Linked DNA regions of Pelodiscus sinensis. The protein of the gene in region 3 purifies or fractionates together with the protein of the main gene of each other region. This does not show direct contact. Links are inferred from orthologs where the notes say so. Each region holds a gene or a part of one and is shown on either strand. Other genes may lie near its edges. The genes, in order: CALR, OS9 and HSP90B1.

The links.
Region 1: the proteins of HSP90B1 (region 3) and CALR fractionate together in Homo sapiens (co-fractionation; 4 studies listed by BioGRID, with this or other methods). This does not show direct contact. The link is inferred for Pelodiscus sinensis from reciprocal best matches to the Homo sapiens genes HSP90B1 and CALR.
Region 2: the proteins of HSP90B1 (region 3) and OS9 purify together in Homo sapiens (affinity purification with mass spectrometry; 6 studies listed by BioGRID and IntAct, with this or other methods). This does not show direct contact. The link is inferred for Pelodiscus sinensis from reciprocal best matches to the Homo sapiens genes HSP90B1 and OS9.

What each region holds. Positions count from the first base shown.
Region 1 is NC_134729.1:13,045,173-13,052,413, forward strand, and holds the start of CALR (calreticulin), read right to left. Parts: upstream 3,104-7,241; 5' UTR 3,014-3,103; coding exon 2,926-3,013; intron 1,902-2,925; coding exon 1,800-1,901; intron 1,250-1,799; coding exon 1,046-1,249; intron 365-1,045; coding exon 270-364; intron 147-269; coding exon 1-146. UniProt on the Homo sapiens protein: Calcium-binding chaperone that promotes folding, oligomeric assembly and quality control in the endoplasmic reticulum (ER) via the calreticulin/calnexin cycle.
Region 2 is NC_134729.1:2,614,422-2,621,405, reverse strand, and holds the start of OS9 (protein OS-9), read left to right. Parts: upstream 1-3,938; 5' UTR 3,939-3,972; coding exon 3,973-4,125; intron 4,126-6,462; coding exon 6,463-6,639; intron 6,640-6,984. UniProt on the Homo sapiens protein: Lectin component of the HRD1 complex, which functions in endoplasmic reticulum (ER) quality control and ER-associated degradation (ERAD).
Region 3 is NC_134711.1:98,350,966-98,358,420, forward strand, and holds the start of HSP90B1 (endoplasmin), read right to left. Parts: upstream 3,028-7,455; 5' UTR 2,887-3,027; coding exon 2,838-2,886; intron 2,311-2,837; coding exon 2,211-2,310; intron 513-2,210; coding exon 371-512; intron 290-370; coding exon 173-289; intron 1-172.

The DNA.
Region 1 (7,241 bases), on a different chromosome or scaffold from region 3:
GCCTCAGGATCCTTGATCTTCTTGGGAGGCAGGAAGTCCCAGTCTTCCTCCAGGCTGCCTGACTCCACCTTGCCGTTGTCGATCTTCACCTCATAGGTGTTGTCAGGCCGCACAATGAGGGTGTAGAGGTGGGAGAACTCATCGTCCTGGGCAAGGGAAGGAGCCGGGGATCAGAGGACCTGGCTGGAGGAAGGCTCTCCGCTCCAGGCCAAGGAGATCTCACTCCAGGCCCCCGTGGCAGGGCAGGAGCCCTATGCCAGGATACTCACTTTGCAGCGGATGTCTTTGTTGATCAGAACGTTCTTCCCTTTGTAGTTGAAGATCACATGCACTTTTTTGGTCCCTGGACCACAGATGTCAGGGCCTGGATCGGAAACAAGCCACAGTTTAGCAGAGCAAACCAGCCTGGCTCAGGAGGGCCTGAAATGACAAGTCACTTTGTTCCAGTGCAGAGAGCTGGCAAATGCAGCCCCAGCAGGACCAGGTGCTAGCTCACAAATAGAGGGCCCAGTGTGGAGCTAGTGACAGGTTCAGCAGGGAGAGTAGGTGTTGAATGGGGCTCAGACTAGACTCTCCCCTCCCCCCAACCTGGCAGGCCACTCAGCAGAAAAGACAGGGGCAATGTTTGGGGGAACAGAGCCATCTAGGACAGGCTGGTCTCTAGGATTCTCAGGAGAAACCATCCCAGGGAGTTACGGGACAGAGTTTGTATTTCAGGTGCAAGTCTCAAGTTCCTTCATCTACCACTGGGGTGGAGCAGAGCAACAATGCATGACCTCTTAGGGCATGAAGCAAAGAACCCCCTTGGCAGCTGAAGCCATCCAGCCACACCACTGGCCCCATATGACATGGGTTATCCAGCAGCTTCCTAGCACAATGCTGGGCCACTAAGCACCCCCAGCCACTCCCAAGGTTTGGGAGAGCTCCCATCCACACACTGCAAGCCCCACCCTGCTTTGCATGAGACCCTAACCTCAGTCCAGGCCCATGTGGGTAATCCACAGCCAGCAAAGGCTATGGAGCTGTCCCACGCAGAGCCACTCACCAAACATGATGTTGTACTCCGAGTCCCCATGCATGTCCTCCTGGCTCAGGCTTGAGGGAAAGAGCTTGACATAGCCACCACCACAGTCAATGTTCTGCTCATGTTTCACAGTGAACTGCACCACCAGGGTCTTGTCCTTGTTGCTGAAGGGGTCAAAGCGAGCGGACAGGGCGTAGAAACGGGCATCCTGGCTTGTCTGGAGGCCTGGCAAGGGGAGGGGAGAGAGTCATGAGCTGCCAGCTAAGGGGAGCAGGATTCCTCACATAGCTGGCCTCACAGCTCAGCTGGCCTCAGAGCTCAGCACATCTGGGCAACAGGCCTCTTTGCTCATGCTCAGCACTCTGCAGCATGGTGCCTGCATACAGAGCCCCATGCCACTAACATAAAGCTAACAGGGCACAAGGCAGCAAAGAGATATCCCTCCTCCAGCCACATACATAGGTGCATTATGGGGTTCTGTCAGTCATGGACCCATGCTCCACTGTGCAGAAAGCCAGTCCTGTCCCAGAGAGCACCCGATCCAAGCAGCACCCAGAAAGCTAACCCATTACAGCCAGAGTAGGATGAGAAGGATGTACTGGGCTGATTTGATGCTAAGGTATTTATAGAAGTGCTGGGTGACTTGGAGGCAAGTAGGAACCAGCCAGAGGAGCCAATGGGCAAGATAGTTAAGAAAAGATGCCCCGATCTCCTCAGTACATCCCCGGAGGGATAGCAGAATGCAGCACGCGCACGCGCACACACAACTTCTCACCTTTATCCTTCTCAGCATCCCCATAGAACTTCCCTGCCGTCAGTTTGAACTTCCCATAGTCTGACTTGTGCTTTGACTCCACCCAGCGACTTGTCCAGGCATCTGTGGGGAAGAGACCCAGGCATCAGTTTGAACAGGCCCTAGCTCTCAGAAGGTGGGAATGTGACCTACAGACCCAGCCCACACTTGGCCATTGACTGAGGAAGGCCCTGTACCTTACCTTGCTCCATCATCACAGGCCAGAGAAGAGCTCTCAAACTGGTTGGGTAAGCCAGTCAGCCTGGAGTAAGTCTCTTTCACCAGGCAGGGAACCAAGGGAGAAAGGAAGTCACTACCCCTGCAAAGTTCTGACTCCCAGGGCTCCAGCCACTAGCCCACACACCCCCTCGCAATAATATGCCTACTTCATTCAGCAGGCCGAGTGGAAGTTTTCTGCCTCAGGCATGGTCAAGTGCAGAGCAGAATCTTGCATTCCTCCTCACATGAGCACTAGCTGTTCCCGACTAGAAGACAATACCCAGGAACTGAGTCACCTGCTGCTGAAATGCAGCCTCCTCCAACATGGAACATAGCATCTGTATAACAGCTTATATTGCTGATTAGTGCCTCGGATCAGCGCGCCCTGAGGGTGCCGGTACATCCCTCTGCAGTGGCTGGGCCAGTCTCTCAAAGCTCCCGTAGGGACAAGAAGCAAAGGAGCAAGCCAGGCTCACCTCGGGGCTTCTTGGCCTCCCAAACAGATTATGACACCGGCTCCAGCTGGGCATGAGAAATGCGGGGGGGGGGGGCTTCACCTACAACTGCAGGCTTGCACCGCCGCCAGATTCCTTCCAGCCACCCCTCCAGGCACAGAGGGGCTGAGCCCGGGCCCCCCCCGGGCCCCGCTCTGCCCCCCCCCCACGTGCCCCCGAGCACGGACCGGTCCGTGCAGAGCAGGCGGGCGATGCTCGAGCAGGGGTGGGGGGGGCCCCTCCCAGCGGGGGGGTGTCTCTAGGACTCTCCGCACCCCCCGGAGGAGGCCAACAGGCCGGGTGGGGGCAGGCCCAGGCCCGGGTCTCGGGTGCAGGAGTCAAAGGGGGGGGCGGTGTCCCCGGGCCCCCCCCCGGCCGTGACCCCCCCCCCTCACCTCCGTCCCCGAACTCCTCCCTGAAGAGCTGGGCGGGCCCCGCCGCCGCCAGGCCCAGCAGGCCGCACAGCGCCAGCAGCGGGCTCATCGCGCTGGGTCCCACGCTCGCGACCCGGGAAGCTGCACAGCTCGAGACGCCCCCACCTAGCGGCGCACCGGACACTGCGGGCGCGCCGCCGCCGGCGACGGCTCTTATAGGCGGCCCGGCCCGGCCCCCGCCCCCGCCAGCTCCCCATTGGCCCGTGCCCTCGCGGCGCGCGCTCCCATTGGCGGGCACCCCGCGCGACGAGTGAGGCTGCGCCCCCGAACGTTGGCGTCCCAGATGGCCGCTTGCAATTGGTTGTCGGGCTCGGCCAATGAAGAGCGACCACGCGTTCGGGGGGAGACGCCTCCTCCTCTCGCTGGCTGCGTCGCCGCCGCCTGTCAGGTCACGTGATCTCTCGGGCGCTCTTAAAGGGCCAGCTCACAGCTGATCAGGCTCGTTCTCACCCCTGGTCAATGGGGGTCACCCTAGCCCAGCCCAGCCCATAATAACCACGAGCGGGGCAGGTGATAAAAGAACCCCAGTGGAGGAAGGAGACCTGGGTACAGGGCGGTGATGCATGCTAACCTGGGGGTCCATGGCTGCGAGCCTCTCTTTGGGAGGGGTCCAGGAGACAGCAGCTGGGAGCCAGGACGTCTTTGCTCTGCCACTGACTTTTCCTGAGGTTTCGGTCAACTCACTTAGGCCCCACTTTCCCCTCTGTGAAGAGACCAACCTACCTTCACTGAAGGCTTGTGAGTCCCCAGCTAAAGGCACGGCTTCTCGCAGAGGCCCCAAAATGTTTCATCTTTGCCTTCGTAAAGTCTGTCCAGGAAACCTAAAGAAGAGAAATAGCCAGTGCCAGGGCTCTGTGCATGGTAAAGAGCTAAAGGTTCTACTGTGGAGGAAGTTCTAATACCAAAGCCTCCCCATTTCTACAGCCCCTCCTGCAGCAGTGCACACGATTTGCAAGCTGTGTGAACAAAGATCTCTGAAGTGCAGCTTCCCTGGCTTATTTATTTACTATCCTCCCTACTACTAACATGCAGCATCTTCTGGGGTGGGGCACAGCAGCTGTTCATTCAGGGATCCCTCACCCAATGCTGAGATGCAGCTGTTTCTGAGGTGGGTTGTGGGGGCTGTTTGTATAGGGATTCCTTGCCTGGCACAAAAAAGCAGCCATCTCACAGATGGAACTAGCTGTCTGTTTAAGAGCTCAGAACAACACTGTTCAAAACAGGGGCAAAACCCCCAGCTAACAGGAAACAGCTCTGGGACGTTACACATACCCAGCAGATGGCCAGCCAGGTGCCTGGCTAACCTGTGCCCAGACTGCCAGTAAGCAGGGGTCTGCCCCAGGCCAATTCAGGACCCTCAATCAGAGGATTCTGAGATACGGTTTTAATAGAGTATCTGTCTATCCACACCTACATGTTCTAACCACCTATCCCTTCATGCACCCCACTAACCACCCATCCCCATAAACACCCTTCCATTCTCATCCATACCCTTACCCCGCTACACTCTCCACTATCCATCCATCCCATACATAGCATCTCTCCACTCAAATCCATATGCACCTCGCTATTCAACCACCAATTCCTTCAATCTCCATACGCATCCCTCCCTCCACCCATCCCCACATACATCTTCTAGCCCCATACTCAAACTCCCATTCACCCATCCCTCACACACCCCACTATGCACGCATTCCATACATGCCCCCTCTCTATCCCAAAACATACACACCCCACTGGTAATTCCTCTGTCCCCACATGCACTCACCCCTCCATCCACACACATCCCTCTCTCCATCCCCATATGCACCCCACCATGCAGCCCTCTTTACCCCATCCACACTATCTGTGGATTTTCTATAGTGCCCATCACCTTTGGCCTCCCTGAACACAGATGTCCTTGTCCTCTTATCATTGTCTGCCTAGCATCATTTACATAACAGACAGGCTGTCCAATCTCACCCCATTCTTGGGGTCTGTTGTGCCACTGAACTCTAAGATTTCTATTACACGAGCTCCCCAGCCCCATGGGGCTGCCACACAAACGGATTTTCTTTTGCAACCCCAACGGTTTAGCTGGCAGCAAGGCCCAAGAGAGATGGCAGGGCAGGGTGTGCCAGAGAGATAAGTTACAGAGGAAAAGAAAGAGGGAACTAGTTTGAGTGTCTGTAAGGATAGGCTGCCCAAGAGGTCGGACTTGTTGGGTTTCTCGTTATTACAAATCTCGGTGCCTCATCTCTCCCTTAACCACAGCATCATGAAGAAGAAGATCCCAGATAAGCAGCAGCTATCGTGTTCTGAGCTGGTAGGACCGTGACTTTCCCAAGGGAGTGCGACTTCCCCAAAGGACCGCCTGTGCAGAACAGAGCCGTTGAGTCCAGTTCAGATCCTGGAAGCTAGGCTGGATGGGTGATCACTGGGCCAAATCCCAGGGTGCTTCCCTAAGGGGCTTTTGGCCATAGGCATGGGAACTAGGGGGATAAGGAGTGCTACAGCACCCCAGGCTCCTGGCCTAGTACCTGGGGTTCCTGCTGCCACTCCATGCACCAGGTTTTTGGCTGTTGGCTCTGCGCACTGGGTTCTTCCTTTTGTCAATTGCATAATATACCACACATACACCAAAAGGGCCTCCAGTAGCAGAGGGGGTTTGCGACCCCTTGATACCAGCTGGCAGAGGACAGAGGCGTGTGTAGAGTTAGAGGGATCTTGTGGGGCTAATATCTATATTATAGCATGCCAAACGGTGGCCTGTGAAGTCTCTACCCAAAGCCAGCAAGACACTGGACATTGTGATGATTGCAAAGCGGATGTGTGGATATGTAAGGAATCATGTCTCAAGGTCTGTGAGATAAAGCAGTCCCCAGGCAGGAAGGAACAACCATGTTTCCCTTTCTGTCAGGGTGGCTGTGTCTAGCTGCCAGCTGTCTACACTGACCAGCTGTCTACACTGACCACTTGAATTTCCGTAAGAACACTGACTTCCTACTGTCTGAAATCAGTGCTTCTTGCGGAAATACTATGCTGCTCCTGTTCGGGCAAAAGTCCTTTTGCGCAAAGCTTTTGCGCAAAAGGGCCAGTGTAGACAGCTCAGATTTGTTTTGAGCAAAAAAGCCCCGATGGCGAAAATGGTGATCGGGGCTTTTTTGCGCAAAAGCGCGTCTAGATTGGCACGGACGCTTTTCCGCAAAAAGTGCTTGTGGAAAAGCGTCTGTGCCAATCTAGACACTCTTTTCCGCAAATGCTTTTAACAAAAAACTTTTCCGTTAAAAGCATTTGCGGAAAATCATACCAGTCTAGACGTAGCCGGAGTGTGTATATTGCATGGCCCAGGGCCAATTCAATCAGCATACAAACCAGTAGATGCTCCCAGAGACCTTTGCTGTCTTGGCCAGCGTCAAGCGTGAGGGCTTGCAAAGAGAAAAGATGAAAGGGAGGGTCTTTTGGGGAAAGGAACTTGATTCTGTAGCTACATAACAGAAGAGAAGAGGGGACAAGATCTTATCCTTCACCGAGGAGCTAGGCTGCTGGCAGCGTGTCTTCTCAATGGAGGGTCATAGGCACTGGAGGGCCTGTAAAGCACTGGAAGAAAGGCTCTGGGGTGAGCTCAGTGCTAGGAGACTGGAAAATACCTCATTAGTTAAGTGCAGGCTCTAGGATGCATGCTGCGATTGGATTTTAGAGATCACCATTTGTTTTCACTTGTTCCTCCATTCGATAAACGGAACCATGTTTTCTCCATACTCACATCGTGCTACGTTAGGCTCTGTCTACACTGGGAAATTTTGGCGACAAAAGTGCTGCCGACGTGGAAAAGTCAACGAAAGTGAAAACCGATAAAACCAGTTTTTCTGCCTCCCATTGTCACCATTTCATGGCCACTTGGCTAGCACCTTGCTAACAGACAGAGCAAAGCATTGTGGGGGAGCATCCCACCAGGCGGAGTTGTGGGAAAGCAAAGCTGATTCCCGCGCTTCTTGGGATTCCCTTGTAGATCTATGAGCTCTCAGTGCTGAGGAACGGCAAAGCAGCACAGCGGCCTCTCCAGCCCTCCCCCTGCAGCAGCAGCCTGCCTGCCACTGTGTTCCTAGCAGGTCAGAACAGGAGCCTTCCAATGATTTCTTCCTTATTTGTTTCCCCAAACAGAGCAGCTCGCTCAACTGCCAGATACTTCCCAGAGCTTTGAAAGGGGAGGGGGGGGGGTGCAAGCCTGCAGGGCAGCAGAGATCACAAAACACTGAGCAGAGCCACCAGGGCAAGTGGTGTTGGATACTGGCAGA
Region 2 (6,984 bases), on a different chromosome or scaffold from region 3:
TGCGAGCGTTGCTGGGGGGGGGGTGAGCTGGGGGACCCCGGGTCAGGGGTGGATGGGGGAGAGGAAGTAGCCCAGGGCACAACCAGAAGGGTTGGTGGGCTGGCGCGTTTCAGCTAGGCGCCCCGTCAGCTGGACCAGATCACGGAGGATCCGTGTCCTTAGCGCCCATGGCTGGATCCCGTGAGTGATGACGGGTCCAAGCCCCCCTCCCTCTCCGACCTGGAGAGCATTGGATGCTTCGTCCGGCACCTACAACGTAGGACACTGGACTCGAGTTGCACCTGAGCGAGGGCGTGGGGGAATCAGCAGTGGCCGAAGGGGGACTGCCCCAAGAGGGCGGGGCGCAGCCCCACCCTGGACACGGTCACAAGGTGGTGGAGAACGTGGGCGCTAGAGGAATCCCTCCCCGAGCAGAAAAGGGGGGAGTGGACCATGCATTGTTTGTTCCCCGTTAGAAGCAAAGAGGGGAGGCGAGCCGCCGGAGGCGCCGACCCCAAGCGGCCGTCCAGAAGATGGAGCCGGTCCAGGTTCTGGAGTGGATTAAGGAGACACAAAGGCAAAGCCAGCAACAACAGACGCTACTGATCCAGCAGCTGTTGTTGCAACACCAGGAATAGCAGTGGCAGCTGGTAAGAGAACTAGCGGAACAATTCAAGAGTCAGCAGGACCAGTGGATGCGCCAGACCCGGCCCTCCCCGGGCCAAGGCGAGAAGGGGAATGAAGACGACGGCAGTGCACCGCGATTGACAGTCAGGTTGACTAAGATGGGACCAACGGGCGACCCAGAGGTGTACTTGACTACGTTTGAAAGGCTCGTCACCGCGGCCCGATGGCCAGAGGCCCATTGGGCCACGATACTGGCCCCCTACGTAACCGGACCGGCGCAATTGGCCTACCGCAGCTTAAGCGACCGGGAAGCCTTACATTATTACAAACTGAAGGAAGCCATATTGGACCAAATGGGCATTCCGCCCGAAACATACCGACAGAAGTTTAGAGGCGAATGATACAGCGTCGGGACGCGGCCTCACGTGACGGCCCAGCGACTCGAGCCGCTTGGCGTTGGCTGGATCCCGAACAACGTACGGGGCCACAAGTGGCCGAGCTCGTCGTGTTGGAGCAATTTGTAAATATTTTTCCCAGCGGCGGACAGCGCTGGGTGAGGCGGCACCACCCCTCTACCCTGAGCGAGGCCGTGGAGTTAATGAATGACTACGAGGCCGACGAGTTGGTCGAGGGCACGAGCCGGGGGGAAAGGTCTACCCCTGCTGCGCGAGGAGAACCGGCCCGGGGGTTCCAACCCCAGGGAAGCCCCGAGGTGGACGGCAGACGTGGGGCCGGGAAAGGGGGGGCACTGAGGCCGTTAGCTCCCCCTCCCCCGGGAAATACCCCGAGAAAAGCCGGGCTGCCTGGCCGAACGGGGAGCTCCTGGGGCACCTCCCTGTACGTGAACAGCAGGTGCGGTAGGTACTTGTCCCAGTCCTGCAGGTGCTGGTGCATAAAGGTCCTTGGCATCTGCTTCTGAGTCCCACCGAATCTCTCCACCAGCCCGTTGGTCTGGGGGTGATATGCCGAGGCCCAGGTGTGCTGGACCTTGCACTTCTCCCAGGGTCGACATGAAGATCCTTGGTCCGTGAGGACCTCCCGGGGGAACCCCACCCTGCTGAAAATGGTCGGCAGTGTGTCTGCCGCCGTGTCTGCCTCGATGGAGGGCAGGGCCACGGCCTCGGGGTAGCAGGTGGCGAAGTCCACCACCTCCAAGACGTATTTCTTCCCCGTCCGGGTCGCTCTGCTGAGGGTTCCCACAATGTCCATCACCCCCTTCTGGAAAGGCTCCTCTATATGGGTAGGGGCCTCAAAGCAGCCATTCCCGGTACAGGAATCTCTGCTCCCACAGGAACCGCTCCTGGCAATCTCCCCAGGTCAGCCCAGTCCCTCAAGGTCCGCAAGGAGGGATCTGCCTGGACTTCAGCAGCTGGGGCAGGGACAGGGACCTGTTCCCCCCCACTACTTGGGTCCGGAGTCCCAGCTCGGCCGGGCTTCGTGTCTGCTGGGGTGGGGGCCCGTGCCCCCTGCTGGGAGCCCTCCCCTGGGTCAGGATCACCAGCCCCTCACTGGCTCTGGCTACAGGTGGTGACCAGGGCCCTGTGGGGTCCGTCTGGCCACTCCTCTAGGTCCCCCCCATCAGCACCTCCGTGGGTAAGTGCCGGTGCACCCCCACTTCGTTGGGGCCCTCCTTAGCCCCCCATTTCAGATGCACCCGGGCTGTGGGCACCTTAATTGGAGTCCTGTCTATGCCCCTACAGGAGTCTGGGCCAGGATGCCTCAGCCCCCTTGAGATGGGTCCCTGGGCCCCTCGATTCCAGACCCCTCCTTAGACTGGTTCCTTCATGATTCCAGCCCCACACTGCCCCTTCCCCCAACACTCACTTCCTAGTTCCCTCACTGCCCTCAACCAGTTGGGTCTTAGGCAGCCCCCCTGCTGGGAAGTGCTCTGGCCACCGGCCAGTAGGGGTCACTCACAGCCCAAGCACAGGGACCAGTAAGGTACTGACACTACATCACACCGTGTCCAAGGAAGTCTGGGATCAAGGAACCAAGGACAGCCTCAGGCCTGGTCTACACATAGCAATTCACTCCACCCTGCTATGTTGCTCAGGGCTGTGAAGAAGGCACATCCTGTCCAGGGGATGTCATTTAATTAGGCAGACCTAGCCCCTGGTGTAGGCATGGCTAGATTAAGGGAAGAATTCTTTTGTCGGCCTAGCTGCCATCTCCTGGAGAGGTGGATTAACTGCACCATAGAAAACACCCGTCTGACACAGAAGCGTCGACACGTTGCGATGCGGCTGTAGCGTAGACAAACCCTCAGAGCTGGTGACAGGACGGTGCTGTATCCCAATGTCAGTAGGATCTGCCAGGGGCTCTGTGCACATGTAGAGGTTACAGGAGATCCCCCCCCATCACTTAGGCTGCACCCCTAGCAGGGGTTCCACCCCTGTGGCCGAGGCCTGGCCCCCTTGCCTTATGCCCCTCCCCATGGCTTTCTCCATCAGCGTCCCCTCTCCATCACCTCCCACTGAGGATGGGCCCCATAAACCCCCAGGCTGTGTCTACACTGGGCCACTTATTCCGGAAAATCAGCCGATTTTCCGGAATGAGCTGTCTACACTGGCCCTTGAATTTCCGGAAAAGCAACGACGCTCTACTGTACAAAATCAGCCGCTATTCCGGAAAACCTATTCTGCTCCCGCTCGGGCATAAGTCCTTATTCCGGAACACTGTTCCGGAAAAGGGCCAGTGTAGACAGCCCAGTAGTCTTTTCTGGAAAAAAGCCCCGATCGCAAAAATGAAGCTCGGGGCTCTTTTCCGGAAAAGCAGCCTGCCAATGTAGACGCTCCTTTTCCGGAAATACTTATAACGAAAACTATTCTGTTTTAAGCATTTCCGGAAATTCATGCCAGTGTAGACAGAGCCTGCCATTGTGTGGGTCAGCCCCCCTGAGTGGCCCTATGCAGCTTGGCTCCACCTAGCCCCACCCCTGCGCCTGCCACATGGCCTAGGTCCGACTGAAGCCCTGTGGATCATGTGACTCCAGTTTAACCAATCAGCTTGGCTCCCAAAGTTGGCTACAATTTATCTTCCTTCCCTCTTTCAATGCTGCCATCTCTGGGCTGCTCTTGCCCTTTAAGAGCCGGGCGTGACGTCATCATCCAGGCGGCCCTCGCCTTCCTGATTGGCTCGGGCGAGTGCTGACTCGGACCAATCCGTCCTCGCCAGATGCCAGCCCCGTCCCAGCCCCACGCCGGCCTCGCTTCCGAGGGCCCTTCCCCGGAGACTGACCAATGAGGAGCTAGATCAGAGGATTGGCACAGGCGCGGCCCAATGGCGGAGCTGGCTGCGGCGGGCAGGGCGGGCCCGCGCGAGGCGGCAGGCAGGAGGGCGGAAGCGCGGTGCGGGAGCGCGGGGAAGATGGCGGAGGCGCGGCCGGGGCTGCTCCTGCTGCTGGCGCTGCTGGCGCCGGGGCGGCCGCTGCCCGGAGCCGCCGGGAGCCTCAACCTGCAGGAGCTCAGCGAGCTCAAGTACGGGATCGAGATCGCCGCCGAGCCGGTGCTGGCCGGGCAGGTGCGTGGGGGGGGGCGCGTCGGGGGGGGCAGGTGCGTGGGGGGGGGCGGGCAGGTGCGTGGGGGGGCGCGTCGAGGGGGGGCCGGGCAGGTGCGTGGGGGGGCGCATCGGGGGGGGGCAGGTGCGTGGGGGAGGGGCCTGGCAGGTGCGTGGGGGCAGGTGCGTGGGGGAGGGGCCTGGCAGGTGCGTGGGGGGGGTCTGTCGGGGGGGGGCCTGGAAGGTGTGTGGGGGGCAGGTTCGTGGGGGGGCGCGTCGGGGGGGCATGGCAGGTGCTTGGGGGGCAGGTGGGTGGGGGAGGGGCCTGGCAGGTGCGTGGGGGGGCCCGTCGGGGGGGGGGCTGGAAGGTGTGTGGGGGGCAGGTGCGTGGGGGAGGGGCCTGGCAGGTGCGTGGGGGGCAGGTGCTTGGGGGGGCGCATTGGGGGGGCAAGTATGTGCAGGTCGGTCTGGGAGGTGCATGTTGGGGGGGTAAGTGAGGGGGCGGGGGGCAGAGGTCCCAGAGTGGGAGGTGAGAGGTCTGGCCAGGGGGGGTGCTGGAGGGGAGGGGCCCCACAGGTATGTGTAGGGACTGAACCGGCACGGGGGCAGTTAGCTGGGGAAAGTGGGGGCAGGGCCAGTGTTTCTGTGGGGGTTGGTCTGGGGCAGAGGGAGCGAGCGGATGGGGGGTCCTAGGAGCTGGCATTGGTTGGCAGGGTCAGGGTAAGACTGGAGCGAGAGGGGGGCTGGGGTAGGTAGGTGCCAGGGGCCAAGCCCATGTGGAAACTCCCTTTCAGCCCATCTCCCCCATCCTGGGGCCACGTCCGACCTGGTGCCTGTGCAAACACATCCCCTTTACTTGCTCCCAACAACCGACCCCTTCCTGGCATAGGCCGGGGCACCGGGCTCAACAGCACCCTGGCCACTGCCCCGGCGGCCCCCGTGTTTACTTCTCCGGCCGAGTCAGGCGGCTGCGCTTGGGACTTCCACCATCCGAGGCCTCACTTTCGCACGTGCCAACGGGGAGCTGGCGCAGAACGGCCGAGGTGCGGCGTCACGCTGCTGCTCGGCCGTGCGCTTTGAAACAGCGACTTCTGGCGCAGCTGTGTGCACCTTGTTCTGCTTTCTGGCTGCCTGCCTCTCTGGATTAACGCCGCCTGCGGAACGGCGGGGAGGGTGGCCAAAATCTGCTGAAACCGCAGTCGCTTTCTAGCACCTGATTCTTCTCCACGATTCTGGCCTGGGGGAGGCTTAGCTAAAAGCAGAAGTTTGGGAAGTTGGCTTGTGTTTGCATCCGGAGAGCGCCTGCCAGCTGCTGCCCGACATGCTGGCTCGGGCACTTTGTGCTTTGTAAAGGCGAGAGCCTGCTCTTGTGCACATTCAGCATCACGGTGTAAATTCGGAGAGGGGCCCTGCGGCCCTGGGCAAGTCGTTTAGGCCTCATCTAAACAAGCAGGTTGTGCAGCGGTTTGGCTAAATGAGACCGGTATTGAGGAAGTGTTACCCATCATCCCCAGCGTGGACGCTGTCTTCTGACAGTGGCCAAGAGGGAGCAAACAGAACAGGGAATCATCAAGTGATCCCTCCTCTGTCGCCCAGTTTCAGCCTCTGACAAACAGCGGCTCTTTTTGGAACCCTGTTAAAGTCCTGGCTTTCACAACATCCTCTGGCAGGGAGTTCCACAGGTCGACTGTGGGCTACATGAAGAAAAACGTCCTTTGGTTTGTTTAAAACCTACGACCTATTCATTTCATTTGGTGACCCCCTCGTTCTGATGTTAAAAGCCAGTTTGGCGCTCTGCCCCCTAGGCGATGCTGCCTGTCAGAACTGACGCGCTCAGCCCTAGAGTTGCCGTATCGCCGAGCCAAGGTCACGAAGCCGGCGCCAGCTCCCTCGCAGCTTGCTCTGGTCTAGCTTGCGTCCCTGAAGAGCGGGTGGAAGCCACTCTGCCGTAAGCGGCTCAGAAACTGAGACGGCTGCCCCCCCATGGGGATGCACTGGTTTCCATGGGATCCGGGCACAGCTGCAGTGAAAGCCATTCCCGCTGGTGCCTGGGCGAATTGTGGAGCAGAACCGGTTTCCAACCGGGGTTGGGCAGGATTTGGGTTTTGACGAGTATCTCTCTTCTGATTGGCGTGGGGTGAGCAGCAGACTTGGCTTCCAATCCCAGCCCTGCCACTGCCTCGGCGGCCTTGGTCATGTCACCTCACTGTGCCTTAGTTCCCTAGCTGCGTGATGCCGGACGCCTGGTATGGCAGGAACAGGAGGAAGCCAGAGCATCTAGCCACCAGGCTGGCACCTTCCTGCTCCCTCAGACCTCTTGGCCCTGTTCTCCTTCGCTGACGCCCCACCTCCGCCCCCTAGAGCCAGCCGGAGGACGTGGTGGTCGTGGCGTCCAAGTACAAGCAGAAGTACGAGTGCCGCCTGCCGACCGCCGCCCTGAGGATCCACCTGGACGCGGAGGAGCAGCCACAGAGTTACCAAGGCCTGGGCATCTCGGATCTGCTGCGGCCCATGGAGGCTGCGCCCTGCCTCGTGAAGGTGACTCCGAGGGATGCTGTGTGCTTGGGGGGGGGGGAGGTGTCTGCAGGCCTGTTGGCCCCCCTGGAAGCGGGCTGGCTCCTGGGGAGGAAGGGGGTAGACAGGATTCCTTCGGGGGGCCCTGGGGAGCTGGCAGCACCTGCTCCCGGCCTCCGGCGGCCTGGCCGTCAGCAGGAAAGCTGTCAGTTGTGAGGTCCGGGCGGACGGAGGAAAGGCCCCCGTGGCACGGAGCCACCGCTGTCTTTGCCGGCCCTCGAGGGGCACACAGCAGCCCCGGCAGCATGGATCTAAGGGGGCTGGGCTGGGGCCGTGGCCAGTGGGGTTCTGGGGGGCGGGGCAGCTCCT
Region 3 (7,455 bases):
TTATGGTCATAGCAGGGTACCAAGTTTTTACAATTTTAAAGTGCTTTACAGACTGGGATATGCAGACTTAAAATTTGTTACCTCAAGCAAGGAAAAGTGAAGTTTTTCCAATGGGGAGAGGGTGGGGTGCGTAACAAATCAGCAGATTATTGTACAAGCTAGCAGCTCTTACCTTTATTTTAACAGTGAGTTCTTCATTACCAGAAAGGGCATTTTCATCAGTCAGTGATATTAGCCTTATCTTATCTAGAGCATCAGAAGCATTTGAAATCAATTCTCTCAGGAAAATCTGAAATGAAATATTTAGGAATAATAAATGTTATGCGAGAACTATACATATTGACATTCCCTGGATAAACATCCGGCTTACCTCCTTGTTTTTGTATAAAGAATTGATAATGAGTTTCATCATTCTGTTAACTTCAGCTTGGAATGCAAACTTCTCTGATTTTTCTCTGATTTCTTTTATCTGGGATGCATTTAAGCCATCTAATTGAATAGCTTCCTCCTCTCTGTGGAGAGAAAGATAGCAGATCTGTTATTGGACCATATTCAGTTACTATGTAGTGGCAAGAGCAACTGAATTTGAGGTTCCAGACACACACAGGTTACTATAAAGTTCCACAAACCATGACATCAGGATGACAGTTTAGAACTGTTAAGATTTGATTGACAATGGAGCACAAAGCATGAAAACTACTGGTAAAGTCTGGTAACAGGGAGTGCATTAGATGTTGTAAAAGCTGGACCTCTCTACTCAGAAAATCCTACAGGTCCCTTGTCTAAAGACTCTCCTCTGAAGACACAATATATAATATTATCTCTGATATAAAAGTAACTCTCAGCTGTATGTCTTTCTTTCTGTAGCACACAGGCTATTATTTCAAGTGTTCACCATAAGCCAGTGTATTATTGTAATAGCTTTCTTGTTTCTACTAATACTCCATGGGGCTGACTAGAATCAAAGAAAGCCATAAGTACATCAATAATGGGTCAGACCAAAGTTTCATCTAGCCCAGTATTCTGTCTTCTGGCATTGGCCAATGCAAGGTGTCCCAGAGGAAGTGAATAGAACAGGGTGATCCATTCCCTGTTGTCATTCACAGCTTCTGGCAATGAGAGACAAGGGACACCATCTCTGCCCATTATTGCTAATAGTCATTGGTGGACCTATCTTGCATGTTCCCCAAAGTCAGTGACAGATGTTAAATCTGCATTGTTATGTTGAAGTAGTACAATCTGGTTACTGTTTCATACATCATTATTAAGTATTACTTACGATCTACCTTTTAATTTTATTCATTTCAGAAGAAAAAGTAACAAAACATGGGCAATTTGTTTTTTTAAGCCCATCAACTGAAAAGACCAAAGCTCTTAGGTATCTGAAACAGCAGCTTGCTACCCCTTCCAGACCACTGCACTACTGGAATCTGATTTGTCCAGCATAACATCACGTTTCACCTCATTTGAAAGCTATTTGCTTATAAAACCAACAAAAAGACAAAATGTCACATTACTCTTTTATTGAAAGATTGCTTACTTTTATTTTTACCATATGATAAATCAATTGGAAATTACATTTCTATGTACGGCATATACAGCACTATAAATGAATTGTATGCAAATTTAGTTTTCATTCACTTCCCTACTATTTTAGGCACCAAGTTGGAAAACTATGCAAATGTCTAGATGAGTCGATGTACCAGTAGGGCTATGCAGAAATCTGTGTATACATATGTCCCTGATTGAGACCGCCTGCCTTGAAATACATCTTACAGGTTGAACCTTTCTAGTCTGACATGATTTCAGTTAGCAGGATGTCCACCTGTCATGGGTGTGGCCAAGTTTTCCATATGCCATAAAGTTTGTTTGTAGCCAGGAGTCCTGGCTGTGCCTGTTCTGCACCGTTACTTAGCTCCAATTTACCCCTAAATATCTCCTATAAGCCCAGCAAGCTGTGGAACTGCTGGCAATGCTCCTAGATAACACTGACCTCCTATGTTTTGGCAAATTCTCTGGTTCAGCATTGGTCAGGCCCCAACGATGCTGGACTAGAGAGGCTCAGCCTATAGATTAGAAACACAAACCTCTCTCACATTCCATTATGACTTCTTAGGCCAGCAAAAGGATGAGGCAGTAACCCACAGGGGGGGCATTTTAGTGTTTTGCTATAGGGGGCGACAGACCTTTACACAATACAAGGTACAAACCTCTGAACAACTTCGTCGTCAGTCCGGGAGCCCTCTCTGCTTTTCCCCAGGTCATCTTCTACCGTGGCGTCCACATCCAGGTCCTCCGCTCTGACCGATGCTGAGGGAGAAGGGAGCGTTAGAGACCGACTAGCCGACTGGCTCCGCCCCCCCCGGGGGCCTCTAGCGGGCTCAGTCCGGCCCCCGCAGCGGGGGACACGAGGCAGGCGGGGAGAAGGGCGCGGAGCGCTCCGGGCAGCGCGACCTGGAAAAAGAACCCTCCCCCCTTTCCCGGAGTTACACCCGCCCACCCCACTGGGTGGTGACGCCGCCGCGGGCGGAGACCCCGTCGGGACCAAAGGGCGCAGCGCGCGGCAGCGCCTCGGGGCACAATTCCCTGAGGGGAAGACACTGCCCCCCCCCCCCCCCCCCCACAGCCAGGCGCGCGCCCCAAAGACCGATAACGGGGAGAAGGGCGGGGGCGGGGCTGCTCGCCCCAGGGCAACTCCCGGCCTCACGCAGCGCCGCGCCCCGTCCCCAGGCTTCCCGGTCACTCCCCGGGCGGAGGCCCCACCGGCCCCAACCGCTCCTCGCCAGAAGCTTCTAGAATCCGCGGGCGGGCGGGCGCGGGAGGAGGGGGCGACTCACAGGCCAGGAGCAGGACACACAGAAGAGCGAGTCCCCACAGCGGCTTCATTGCAGCAGCGGGGGTGTCGGTGCGGACTCAGACGAGGACTCGCTAGATCCAGCCCCACGAGCTCTCAGGAAAAGCGCCGAACCTACCGGACCAGCCCGGTAGGGCCCTCCCCCAGCCTTATCACCGTCCGGCACACGGGGTGGGGAGAAGCGCTCAACTCACCGCCAATCAGAGCGCACCACGCCAAACACACAGCCAATGAAGCTGCCTGGGAGGTGGGGCGGGATCTGGTCCTCGCCAATCAGAGCCTTCCATGTGCGGCTTCCTGCGGTCTGAGCGTGGCTACCTCTGATTGGTCACCAGTAAGAAGAGTCGGCCAATCATTTTCCGCGGCTAGTTTAACCGGCCTGCCGTGTATTTCTTTTTTAAATTAAACGCTCGGAAATGTTTGATTCCAAGGCCAAGTGTCGCATCCCCGAATGGGATTTGTGGCTAAGGCGAGAAAAATCGCCACATGGCCGGAGAGATCTGAAGTACTTCCGGGGCGACCGGAATGTTTGCCCTAGAGATAGTCACTAAGGCAACGTCTACTTCCGGCCGCTGTAACTTCCACGGAGGCAGCTGCAGAGAGGGCGAAGCCAATACGCGCTCCGGAATCGCGCGGGAGTGGCAGGGAAACAAGGCTACTGCAGGATGAGGGCAGCGCGCGGGGAAATGCTCCCGGCTTAGGGCACGTGGATTGCAGACTCCCCGATAGAGCTACGGCCGCAACCCCCAGCATGCATCGCACCCCGATACCACGTGCCGGGACTTGCATCCGTGCTCCGCATGGCCTGATGGGAATCGTAGTTCCCATGTATTCTCGGCGAGTGGAGAGGCGTTGCATGCTGGGAGTTATAGTCCTTCGGCCTCGCTCTGCGGGTCTTTATTCTGGGCCGGCATCGCGCCCCTTGCTGGCTGGTAGCTGCAGCCTAGTGGATTCGGGATGTTCGATATCGAGTATCCTCACGAATTCCTATCCGTTAGTCGACTATTTTGTAGTTCCCAAGGTGGGGGCTGGCAGCCAGCCCGCTCCAGCCTCACTGCCAAGGAGCCCCCTGCCACTCCACACTGGAGTTTAAAAAACAGCCCCCTTCATGGACGGGCTGCCTGTTGCCCTGTGCTGCTGCCTCTGATAAAAAGGCAGCAGAGCAGGGTGACAGCAGCCTCTGTCTGGGGGGAGGTTTGGACCCATCACAAGACAGGACAGAGCCAGGCTGCTGGTTAGCCTGCTAAAAAATTTACCAGCAAGGCAGGGGAGGGAAATGCGTGTAGTCTATAGCATTAACCTATAAGCTTTTGCTTATCAGTTAATCAAGTCTAACTGGCAAGTTACTGTGCCCTGCAGCAGACCCTGAACACATGATTCGCGCTGTCAGCCCTCTCTTATGGCTGCATCTGACAGGACGGCTGTGTCTAGACTGGCAAGTTTTTCCGCAAAATCAGATGATTTTGCGGAAAAACTTGCCAGCTGTCTACACTGGCCGCTTGAATTTCCGCAAGAACACTGACGATCTCATGTAAGATTGTCAGTGTTCTTGCTGAAATGCTATGCTGTTCCCGTTCAGGCAAAAGCCCTCTTGCGCAAATGCTTTTGCGCAAGAGGGCCAGTGTAGACAACGCGGTATTGTTTTGCGCAAAAAAGCCCTGATCGCAAAAATGGCAATCAAGGCTTTCTTGTGCAAAACCACCTCTAGATTGGCACGGATGCTTTTCCGCAAAAAGTGCTTTTGCGGAAAAGCGTCCGTGCCAATCTAGTCGCTCTTTTCCGCAAATGCTTTTAACGGAAAAACTTTTCCGTTAAAAGCATTTGTGGAAAATCATGCAAGTCTAGACATAGCCCTACACTATTACATCCCTACTCCGGATGGGGCTGGAGGCCGAGGGTGGAGCCAAGCCCTGCAACCCCCACAGTAGTTAAGACTAAGGATGTTAAGTAGCGTGTAATTGACTAATTGAGTAGTTGATGCATTTTTGCATTGACTATTCGATTAGTCAATAGTGCAGTACTACCCCTTTGAAACACTGTGGCAGCATTTCAAAGGGGTAGCACTGCTGAGCTCAGGGTCCAGCTGGGATCAGCTGTGAGGCTCTGCCCCTTTGAAATGCAAGGGGCAGTGCTGCAGGGAGCCTGGGGTTAGCTGGAGTCCCCAGCTGACCCCAGGCTCATGCAGCGCTAAGCTTGGGATCAGCTGTGTGGCACTGCCCTTTTGAAATGCCATAGCGGCATTTCAAAGGGGCAGCACCGCGGAGCCAACATCAGCTGGGATCAGCCTCCCTGTCCCGGGATCAGCTGTGTAGCGCAGACTCTTTGAAACGCCGGGGATGGTGTTTCAAAGGGACAGCACCACACAACTGATACTGGGCTCCGTACTGCACTGCCCTTTTGAAATGCCATGGCAGCATTTCAAAGGGGCAGCGCAGCGCCCGGGTCCAACCCCCAAGGGGGTGGAGGAACAATTAGAACTAGGGGTCACCAAATGAAATTAATGGGCAGCAGGTTTAAAATAAATAAAATGAAGTTCTTCTTTGTGCAACTCACAGTCAACCTGTGGAACTCCTTGCCTGAGGAGGTTGGGAAGGCTAGGACTATAACAGGGTTTAAAAGAGAATTAGATACATTCATGGAGGTTAAGTCAATTAATGGCTATTAGCCAGTATGAATAAGGAATGGTGTCCCTAGTCTCAGTTTGTCAGAGGGGAGATGGATAGCAGGAGAGAGATTGCTTGATCATTACCTGTTTGTTTCACTCCCTCTGGGGCACCTGGCATTGGCCACTGTTGGCAGACAGGGTACTAGGCTGGATGGACCTTTGGTCTGACCCAGTATGGCCATTCTTATGTTCTTATGATTAGTCGACTAGCCTGTTGACTATCCGATAAGCATTTGCTTATCAGATAGTTGACTAGTTGACTGATCCTTAACATCTTTAGTTAGGACCAGGTTTTTAAAGGTATTTAGATGCCTAAGGATGGTGACAGTGACCCATGGGCACCAGCTGCATTGTTAGACTCCTAATTCCTTTGAAAATGTGCTCGAGACACTTGCCATCCCAAATCAGCAACATTCCTGCAGCCGCCACTTTCTTTTGCACTTAAGCATGTCAACCCTCCCAGCTTGGCTGGGAGTCTGCTAGATTAGGCCGCAATCTCCTAGTGAGGTTTTTTTTTCAGTTAACTTTTTTGAGATATGGGAAATGTAAATAATTCATTGCCACTCCTCTGACTTTGGGGGGTTAGGGTAAAATGGAACCCAGATCTAAATTAACTCTGTTATTGGCAAGAAAGTGGATTTACCTAAATCTGACAATTACACAGAAGAAGAACAATTGTTAGAAAGCATTTGAAAGAGTTAGGAAAACTTTTCAGAAAGGCAGGGTTTGTCCTGTTCATGCAGAGGTCATGGCATAATCTGAAATTCAGTGTAGCTAAGTGTTGACTGCTGTACTTTGATTATATTGTTTGCATATTGAAGTTCACTTTCATTAACATTCCATTGAAGTGTACAGTACAAAGGCAATATATAAGAAACCGTGGCCAAGTCCAAAAGGAAGTTTGATCTCTTTAAGAAGTAATTTTGCTTAACTAATCTTCATCAGTGTTAAGCAAACCTTTTCTAATAGTTTGTTTTATACTTTAAGGGCCATGAATGCAGTATTGAACAGTCTTACAAACCTTTTGCTGCAAAGCAGTGTAAGTTATTTTTTGTCCTCTGATTAATTGAAGGCAGTTTTCAAGATCTTGGATATATTTCCACATGTGGCATTCAAAATGAATATGAGCATTCTCTCTCAGGGAATGAAACATGAATCACTTTCCAGGCATTAGCACCAAAGTAAAGTGTACTGAAATGGTTTAGTCTTCAGGCTGAAGAATCAGTTACATTATTTCTATAAAGCAAATATTCTTTAGATAATTGAATGTGCTGTGATTATTAGGAATGTAAAAGGTTAACCAGTAAGCTTTACCCTTAACAGGTGAGGTTTACTGGTTCCAGTTAATTAGGTCTGGAGTAAGGATGTTAAAATGTGATTAATTGACTAGTTGCCTACTCGATGGAATTTCCATCAACTAGTCGACTATTCGATAGGCACTTCCGCATTCCTCCTTTGAAATGTACAGGAGCTCCCAGTGGGGCCTCAGCGGGGGCTCCTGTACATTTCAAAGAAGGAATGTGGAACTCCACATACAGTCCGGGGTCAGCGGGAAGTCCCGCTGACTCCGGTATGCACGTGGGTGCCTTCTTTGAAATGCACAAAAGTCCCCAGCGGGGGCTCTTGTGCATTTCAAAGCCATGGAGCCCGGGATCAGCGGGGGACTCTCAGTCCCCCACTGACCCCAGGCTCCATGCTATGCTGCATGCTGCTAGGAGCCCGGAGTCAGCTGGAGATTCCCCAGCTGATCCCGGGCTCCCTGCGGCATTTCCCTGCAGCTACCCCTTTGAATCGCGCAGATGCGCGGTTCAAAGGGACAGTTGCAGGGAGCCTGGGATCAGCTGGGGAGTCCCTAGCTGACCCCAGGCTCCTAGCAGCATGCAGCATAGCATGGAGCCCAGGGTCAGCGGCGGACTCTCAGTCCCCTGCTGATCCC